2 linked regions of the Schizosaccharomyces pombe genome follow. The protein of the gene in region 1 interacts with the protein of each later gene in a pairwise test. Each region holds a gene or a part of one and is shown on either strand. Other genes may lie near its edges.

The links. Proteins that work in one complex are often made in the same cells at the same time.
Region 2: the proteins of spo2 (region 1) and atf21 interact in a two-hybrid assay, tested with the Schizosaccharomyces pombe proteins (one large-scale study listed by BioGRID).

The regions. Positions count from the first base shown.
Region 1 is NC_003423.3:4,321,215-4,324,945, reverse strand, and holds spo2 (protein Spo2), read left to right. Parts: upstream 1-2,323; coding exon 2,324-2,725; 3' UTR 2,726-2,922; downstream 2,923-3,731. Other genes in the region: vps1302 (lipid transfer protein), read left to right, coding at 1-2,117; SPOM_SPBC16C6.01C (lysine methyltransferase), read left to right, coding at 3,405-3,731.
Region 2 is NC_003423.3:1,720,351-1,725,139, forward strand, and holds atf21 (Atf-CREB family transcription factor Atf21), read left to right. Parts: upstream 1-2,662; coding exon 2,663-3,730; 3' UTR 3,731-4,100; downstream 4,101-4,789. Other genes in the region: mrpl35 (mitochondrial ribosomal protein subunit L35), read right to left, coding at 1-127; mRNA guanylyltransferase Ceg1, read left to right, coding at 4,497-4,789.

The sequences.
Region 1 (3,731 bases):
CTATCACTAAAGAAGATAAAGCGTGGCCATTTAGGCTGAAAAATTGCACGTCTCGAGAAATTTGCTATGAACAAAAGCGACCAGATCCAGAATCGGTTGATAGCCGGTTTCTCCAAGGTTCTAGGAGCATGAAATACGCTCTTAATCCCGGGGAAGAGGCTAATTATTCTTGGGACTTTCCGATATTGAAATCAAAATTATTGCAAGTAGAAGTTGGAAAAGCAATTCACGATCTTGATATTTCGTCGGTGGGTCAACTTGAACCATGGCACCCCACAGAATTAGACCAAAAAATAAGGATACACCCTGAAGTTAAGGTTGATAGCTTGACGTCTCTCGTTACTTTTAACGAAATTGACTTAAGTAAACCTAAATTACCCAGTCGAACAAATTCCAACGTGAAAGGCTCGATTGTCGAGCAGAAATTTAAGTTAGTTTTGCAGTTGAAGGGATTTGGAATTTCCTTAATTGACAAAAAATATGAGGAATTTGCATATGCTACTTTGAAGAATTTTACTTTTAGATTTGATGATAGTAAAGACCTTAATACTTTTGGAATGTCATTGGGATGGCTTCAAATTGACAATCAGATGTTGGATTCTGTATATCCAATTGCATTGTTTCCTACAATGATTACCCAAGAAGTCAAACAAGACGATCCCCAACTTTTACAGCTGCGATTTTCCGTCCTTAAAGATAGCAGTTTTAATATTCTATACATTAAGTATGCCTCTCTCCTTCTTCAAGAGCTATCGCTCGAAGTGGAGGATAGATTGGTTTTAACGTTGTTACAATTGCTTTATCCATCATCCGATGTTTCTAAAGATTCTGCAAGTCTCAGCAAGAACGCTTTTGCGGATAAGTTTGAAATACCAGATCTTGACGCGGATGTTTATCGCAGTAACGTATTTTTTGAGACTCTCCATTTACAACCAACCCGATTAAATATATCATTTGAAACTTCTTATGAATCGGATCAACCAGCTGTCAAATCTTCCAATCCCACATTAGATTTTATGACAGGTATACTGATTAGCACATTGGGTAATATTCATGATGCTCCCGTGCAACTGAATTCCATTCTTCTTGAAAATGCTCGTGGCACACTTTCCGAAATGGCAAACCGAGTGGCAAGTCATTATAAACAGCAGGTTGGTTACCAAATATACAAAATTGCCGGGAGAGCTGATTTTTTGGGAAACCCCGTTGGTTTGTTCAATAACGTTGCATCTGGTGTATTTGATATGTTTTATGAACCCTATCAGGGGTTTTTGTTACAAGATTCGCAATCATTCGGTGATTCATTTGCTCGTGGAACATCTAGTTTCATGCGTAAAACTATTTATGGTGTTTCAGATAGTGTATCAAAGATTACTGGGACGATTTCTAAAGGTCTTTCAACTATGACTATGGATCCAAAATATCAAAATTCTAGAAGACGGTTTCGTTCAAGAAATAGGCCAAAAGAAGCTGTATATGGCGTAACCGCTGGAGCTAACAGCTTTTACGACAGCATGTCTAGTGGATTCAAAGGTCTCAAAAAGCCATTTACGGATCCAAAAAACAACAGTGCTGGCAAATTTTTGAAGGGATTTGGCAAGGGTATGCTTGGTTTAGCTACCAAACCTGCTATAGGATTGCTTGATATGACCAGCAACGTGAGTGAAGGCATTCGTAACTCAACCGATGTTCGTACTAATCCTGAAATTGATAAAGTACGTGTGCCAAGATATGTTGAATTTGGAGGTCTAATTGTACCATTTAAACCCTACGAGTCGCTCGGAAAATATATGTTAAGTTGTTTGGATGACGGCAAATATGCCTTTGATGAATATCTTTACCATGCTGAAATTCAAAATGTCGACATTCTATATATCAGTACGAAGCATTTTATTATAACCGGAAGTAATTATATTGTTAAAATCGCTGTACCCGTGAAACAAATTAGTGGTTTGCGGGTATCTGAGCATGACTTGGTTTGTACGTTGTCTAACAAGTCAGTGAGATATTTACCTTTGCCAGCTTCGCAGGAGATGAGGCAAAACTGCATAAACGCTGCATTTACTGCTTATTCAGAACATTATAGATTGCGATTGAAGCAGATATCCCCACTTTAAATTATCAATTTTTTTTTATATTTTTGTTTACTTTTTAAACTATTGTATATTTTCTTCTATTCAATTGATATTGTTTAACTGAATAGAATTCTTCTTGTTTGTTTACATTTGCTGTGTTTTGGCAGCGGTGTGAATCCCTCTTTGACTGTGAGTATCTTTCCACACCAAACTTAGAATTGTTTGTGAAAGAGAAAAAAAAACCGATTATGAGCATAACGATGTCCGATTCTTCTGCTTACGGCGAGGAATTAATGCGTGAGCGATTTGAGCACTTGCTTAAAGCTTACGAAAAAATGGCTTTGATGGTAGCAGAACAAGAGGAGTTTAATGCTAAAATTGAGGACATGGCTTTGAAATTATTAAGTGAGAAATATGACAATGAGGCTTATCAAGCTGAACTGTTTTATCGCTTGTCTAATTGTGTGGAAAAAGTCCTGCACAATAAAATAAGTATCACTGATCTAAAGACTGAGTATGAGGAGATTCTTGAGCAAACGCTGAAGAAAGAATGCAAGGCTTATGAAAGATCTTGTATTGAGAATGTGAAATTAAAGAAAAGAACAGAACAAGCAACCGCATATTATGCTAGTTCCTCAAGCGAACCGTAAAAAATGGGACATATGAGTCGATGTAAATTTCTTCGAATTTATTAGTTATTAAGCATACTCAGTCTATGTGTATCTTTTCCTTCTAAAATTTGACATGACAATTTACGACGGATAGTGAATGGAAGTAATGTGCAAACTATGTCATATATTATTTTTAGTTTTTTACATCTCTCCATTACTGATGGAAGTATCTACTGTTTAATTATGAATGTTTTATAAATGAAATAATTTATTTGTATGAAAAAGCATTATTGCGAAAAGTCTGTACAACTCTTGGTAAAATTATCACCATGAAGAAGCTTTTTATATTTAAAGCGTTTGTTTATTACCCCTTTTCAATCGTATTCAATCATATTCTTATAGTAGTTTTTATATTTACGATCCATCCTGCATTGCCCTTCTGTATCGGACAGGTTGAAAACGCGTAGCGGATTAAAAATCAAGTTTGAACAGACTAATGTGCTTTATTAAACATAATTTGAGAAATTAATTATCTTCTGTTCTAAGATACGTTCAAGTTTTACTCAAAAAATCAATGTGTACATCAGAAGGTTGGAGTATTTACCTACGCTTAAAATCAAATTTGCTTTGAAAAGATATTAACTTTCAAATGTTCAAAATTGCCGGAAAGCGCATAAAAAATATTATTAACTACTTATTAAAACATGTTAAATAAAGCATGAACAATTCCAAGCAATTTTTGAAGTACCAACCCTTACTTGAATGGCTAGCAAAACACGAAGCTTACATTTCACCCAAACTGTATATCGCTTCAAGTGGGGTCGCAGGAGATGGTATATTTTCTACCTTTGATATAGATGAACTTGAAGTTTTAGCAAAGATTCCTAGAAGGATCATTCTGAGTCCTCGCAACTCAAGATTTGGAGATTCGTTGTATACACATTTTAATGAATCTAATCGGTCTGATGATATTAACTTTGACAATAGAGATCAGGTTGGGCTGGTCATGCTCGTTATAACTGTAATATTGGAAAATATAACAGAT
Region 2 (4,789 bases), 2.6 Mb from region 1:
CTTTCTCCGAGTATTCCTGTATTAACTTTACAGAAGAGCGATATGCATTTTCCTGAGCAGCACTGTAAATACTGCGAGCCCTACAGACATTCGAAATCGTAGGAATTCTAGGCCATACGCGTTTCATCCTTGCAATGGTAAAAGCTAAGTAATTAACGGTATGGATGTGTATAGGAATAGAATAACACAAGAGGGTATAGCGCAGTGTAAGGAATGCTAATGCACAGCTTTTTCGATATTTACGGTTATACAAAATAAAATTAGAAATGGAAACTGTGGATGTTAAACATGTTAATTGGAAAAGGTCAATCATACCGAGTCCCTTCAAGGTTATGACCAAAGTTTTAGTGGTAGGTTTAAGCAACAATTCTACTCCCGTAAGCTGCTTCTAATGGGAACTAGACTGTAGCAATAGCGTTCATGTTTAACCAAAAGCTACAAGTTATATGAAACGGTCATTTGCAAAAGTCAGTAAGTTTCAATGACTATAATGAAAATATATTGACTCGACGACACATAGTGAATCATGAGTCAGAGTCCGTATGAAGTAATATGTTCCTAATTTGACGGCTGCATTGAAAATTCAGCAATCGGAAGGAATGAATAAGAGAAAAATATTCAAAAGAAGTGAAATAGCTACGTGGGTTAATCAATAGTGTCTACGTCCAATTATTATCTGAGGTATACACATGCAACAATCACGGCATTTACATCTCAGTAAATTAAAATAAAGAAAAATAATATCATTAAATTAAGTCAAAAGGTTTAAAGGTGATATCCTATGAATTCGGGAAATTGCCAACTATATCTTAGATAGTCACATTTCTACCAAATTGACGTAGAGCTTAATTAAATATTCCAGATGTTGCTAAAGTATTCTCATATTGTCAACTGCGAAGTTCAACATCTTTCGATTTGCAGAACTGATTCAATCCAGTGGCTAACTCATGGTCGTATGTACGATCCGTTCTGTCTATTTTGATTTAATGTGACCAAAAGTTAAACTTCATCTCGTGTATAGTTAAAAGATATGATAGTATACATACTAAAAATGAGAATTCTGGCAAACCAGATTTAAATCAATAACATGTTACTCTTGCTTGCGACAATATAAGTAAATGTGGGCAAGAAAGATGAAGAAGTATTAGAAACAAGTTGCGGCTAAATTTTGAGAAAGGATTGATAGCGGAAAGGCTACTAATAGTAATGATATGAGCTATTATTATCAGTAACGATAAAGCCGTTTATGGTGGCGCGCGTAAGAGAACGACAAAATTTGAAGCCTAGGTAGTTTCATCAAAACCATTAAAGGAAATAAATATGAAAAAAGCTAGCAAGAGAGGCGATATTATATTTTCGCATTCACAACTTTACTATTGACGACTACGAATACCGAGGGATAGCGTTATTATCTCTCCACAAGTAATCGGCTATTTTTTGATTGGTTTAAATAAAAGTAAATCCTGATTATATTTGACATAATCTGCATCAAATAGAACTCTAGATTTTCCTTTCCGAATATGGTGGCCAATTAACGGTACGACTGTGATGTAAATATTACACAGTGGAGCGACACGTGAATGTAGTCCCCTTCGGTTAGCTCCTTAAAATGGAGGCCTTAAAGGATAATACTGCTTGACTTTTTTAGCATAGTGCCTTTGTTAATTGCAACAAATCCCTTCAAACAAAAAAAAAATAAATTTTTATAAAGAAAAACTTTTTATTTCTATACGGCAAGTTCATCTCATAAAGTAAACAAATCATTTCCCGATTGGCTACCCTAGCCCTTCGTTTGTTTGTTTTGCAGTGACGTCAAAATTCATCTCACCCGATCAACATATATAAACATTGCGACACAAACCAAAAAGTTACCGACTGCAGCATCATATTTCTCAGCAGAAACGTATTCTTATAGTAATCCAAGTCCAAAATTAAGGAATTGGTATCTTAAACCACCTTAGTACATAGTTCTCTATTGTTTATAAGCCTCTTTACTTGCCAGGGACGCAGTAAGACATTGCTTCCTTCACCACCTTCATTATCCTTTACCTTCTTTCTCTGTCCACCTTATATATATATACTTATTTTCCCAGGAATCCTCACTTTTGCCATTAATCCATTCCATCCTTCTGTAGAACGACGAATTGTCATCCCTTCCTTTATCGTTCGTTCATTTCCTAAAACCGGGACACTACTGCATGCTTAAAACAGAGGAAAAATAAAGAGAGAACACATTTATATAATTGAAAGAAACTTTTCCATTGATAGCTCCTAAGTTTCAAATCACCAACTTGTCGGTTTATACATTCTTCATTTTCTTTTATTTACTTTTTTGAAGAAGTTCACAGGGATCACTATTCAGAAATTTTATACAAAGATATTGCATCCTTATTCATCAATCCAAATTTGCGTCACTTGATCGACCACAATTTGCTTCATCTTCCCTTCCCAATTTGTTTCGCCAGCACCTGAATAACATAGCCTCTTTTTAAGATTTAACCTTCTTCAAGAAATCACTACATATTCGCACTACTAACAAAAAAGAAACTTTCGCTTTTTATTTAGTCCGTTCTTGTATCAACTATCTTCATCGGCTTTACCGTCGAAACCATTTCAACCGCACTCAATAGAAAATTAACTTGCTCATCATCAATCTTCCATCATGGATTTCGCAAATGTGTATCTCGGGTTAGATACACTAGGTAATGAAGGATATGGTGCTAGCGTCAGTAATGGCACTCACCATGATTTTCATTTTAACTTCAATACATTCCGCGATGGTGGTAACCATGAAGTTGGAGAAAAACGCGCTGAATCTAGCGATATCGGAGTATATGAATGTAGAGGTCCAGTCCAGGGACCTAAAGATCAAACATCCTTTCCCTCGAATTCACATAATAACTACGCTTCAATAGTAGGTGATGCTAGCATTGGACATTACCTCAAAGGACCCGAGCGTACTTCAGAGGTATCATTACCTCAAACGGTAAACCTTTCGGAGATTTCTAACAATAATGACAAAGGCCAGCCTACAAATACTCCTCCTGTACGCTCAACAATTGTTGCACCTTCATTATACTCTGAAGGTAGTACTTTGAATCATTATAATAATGGATCTCATCAAGTGCTTCATCCACAATTCCAAAATGGAACCAACGCCCCATACGTAGTGCAGTCAAATCTTATGCAAAACAATGTTAATCTAACAGGAGCGGAACAAGAAAAAGGTTTGGACCTATATAAGAATTCCGCTACTGCGAATAACGATGAGATTTTCTATAATCTTGAATCCTTACGTAGAGAAGGATACTTAAACTCCAACAAGAAGCAGTCTCAATCTCCAAATGGAGACTACAACAGCAGCGATGAGTCCTGTTCCAATAAAACCGTCGCCTCCAGTCAACGACGGGGTACACCTGGCAGTAACAATGTTCATACCGCTAGTAACAATGAAACTCCTGATATGAAGAGGAGGCGGTTTTTAGAGAGAAATCGAATAGCCGCATCGAAATGCCGCCAAAAGAAAAAGCTTTGGACACAGAATCTCGAAAAAACAGCACATATCGCATGTGAGCAGTCGAAAGCTCTAAGGATTTTAGTCAGCCAACTACGTGAAGAAGTAATTTGTTTGAAGAATCAACTATTAGCTCATCAAGATTGCAATTGCGAAGGAATTCGACAATATCTTTCTTCAGAGGCTCAAGGAATTATGTCCTTTCAGAAACATTGAGCAAATGACACCCCATTGAATCAAGTTTCGTAACATTTTTTTATTATACTGTATATGCATTTCTGAGAGCCTGGATAGAATCTTGCAATAGGAGATGCTTAAAAGACGGCCAGTGCTGCTCTACTGCTTGTCTATAGTAATTGTACTTTAACTCTGGCATATTTTATTTTTCTTTTTTCACAATACTATTATTTTCTTCGCGTCACTGTGTTCATGGGATTTGCAATCTCACTCCAAACTCGTTTCATTCAATTGCTTGGGTTTTTCATTCATGTTTCTTCATTAAAAGTGTTTATGTTTCGAAGATCCTTTACGCACGTTTCATTTCCAGATTAATAATTACTGTAATGATATATCTTCCCTATATGTATTTTTTTAATAGGTTACGATTGCTTTACGAACTTGACCTAGATGAGCCAAATCTGTAATCACTGCCATATAATCTGTACCTCGTTCACAGACATGTCATTTTATCTTCAGTACGACACCACAGTTACATATATTGTTTGCTTTGGAATAAAAAAAAAATTAAGTAATAGAATAACACTTTCTGAAGTAAATGGTAGAAAAGATAACAGTATTCGTAGAGCAGCTATAATTATATGCATTTTTGCGTTTTGCAGCAAAAGATCACTATACTGCATAAGGAATTTTTATACAAACCATGTGTCTTTATTTAGTACATTAAGACTATATCCCGTTTCTACTCCTTCAGAAAGTGCTTAAGCCCTCTCTTAGCAAAGAAACGAGTGTATTATTAAAAGGAATGGCACCCTCAGAGAAAGACATTGAAGAGGTATCAGTCCCTGGAGTTTTAGCACCGCGCGACGATGTGAGGGTTTTAAAGACACGAATTGCCAAATTATTAGGAACAAGTCCTGATACATTTCCTGGATCACAGCCAGTTTCTTTTTCAAAGAAACATTTACAAGCATTAAAAGAAAAGAACTATTTCGTATGTGAAAAAAGTGATGGAATTCGTTGTTTACTTTATATGACCGAGCATCCTCGGTACGAAAATCGACCCAGTGTATATTTATTTGATCGTAAAATGAATTT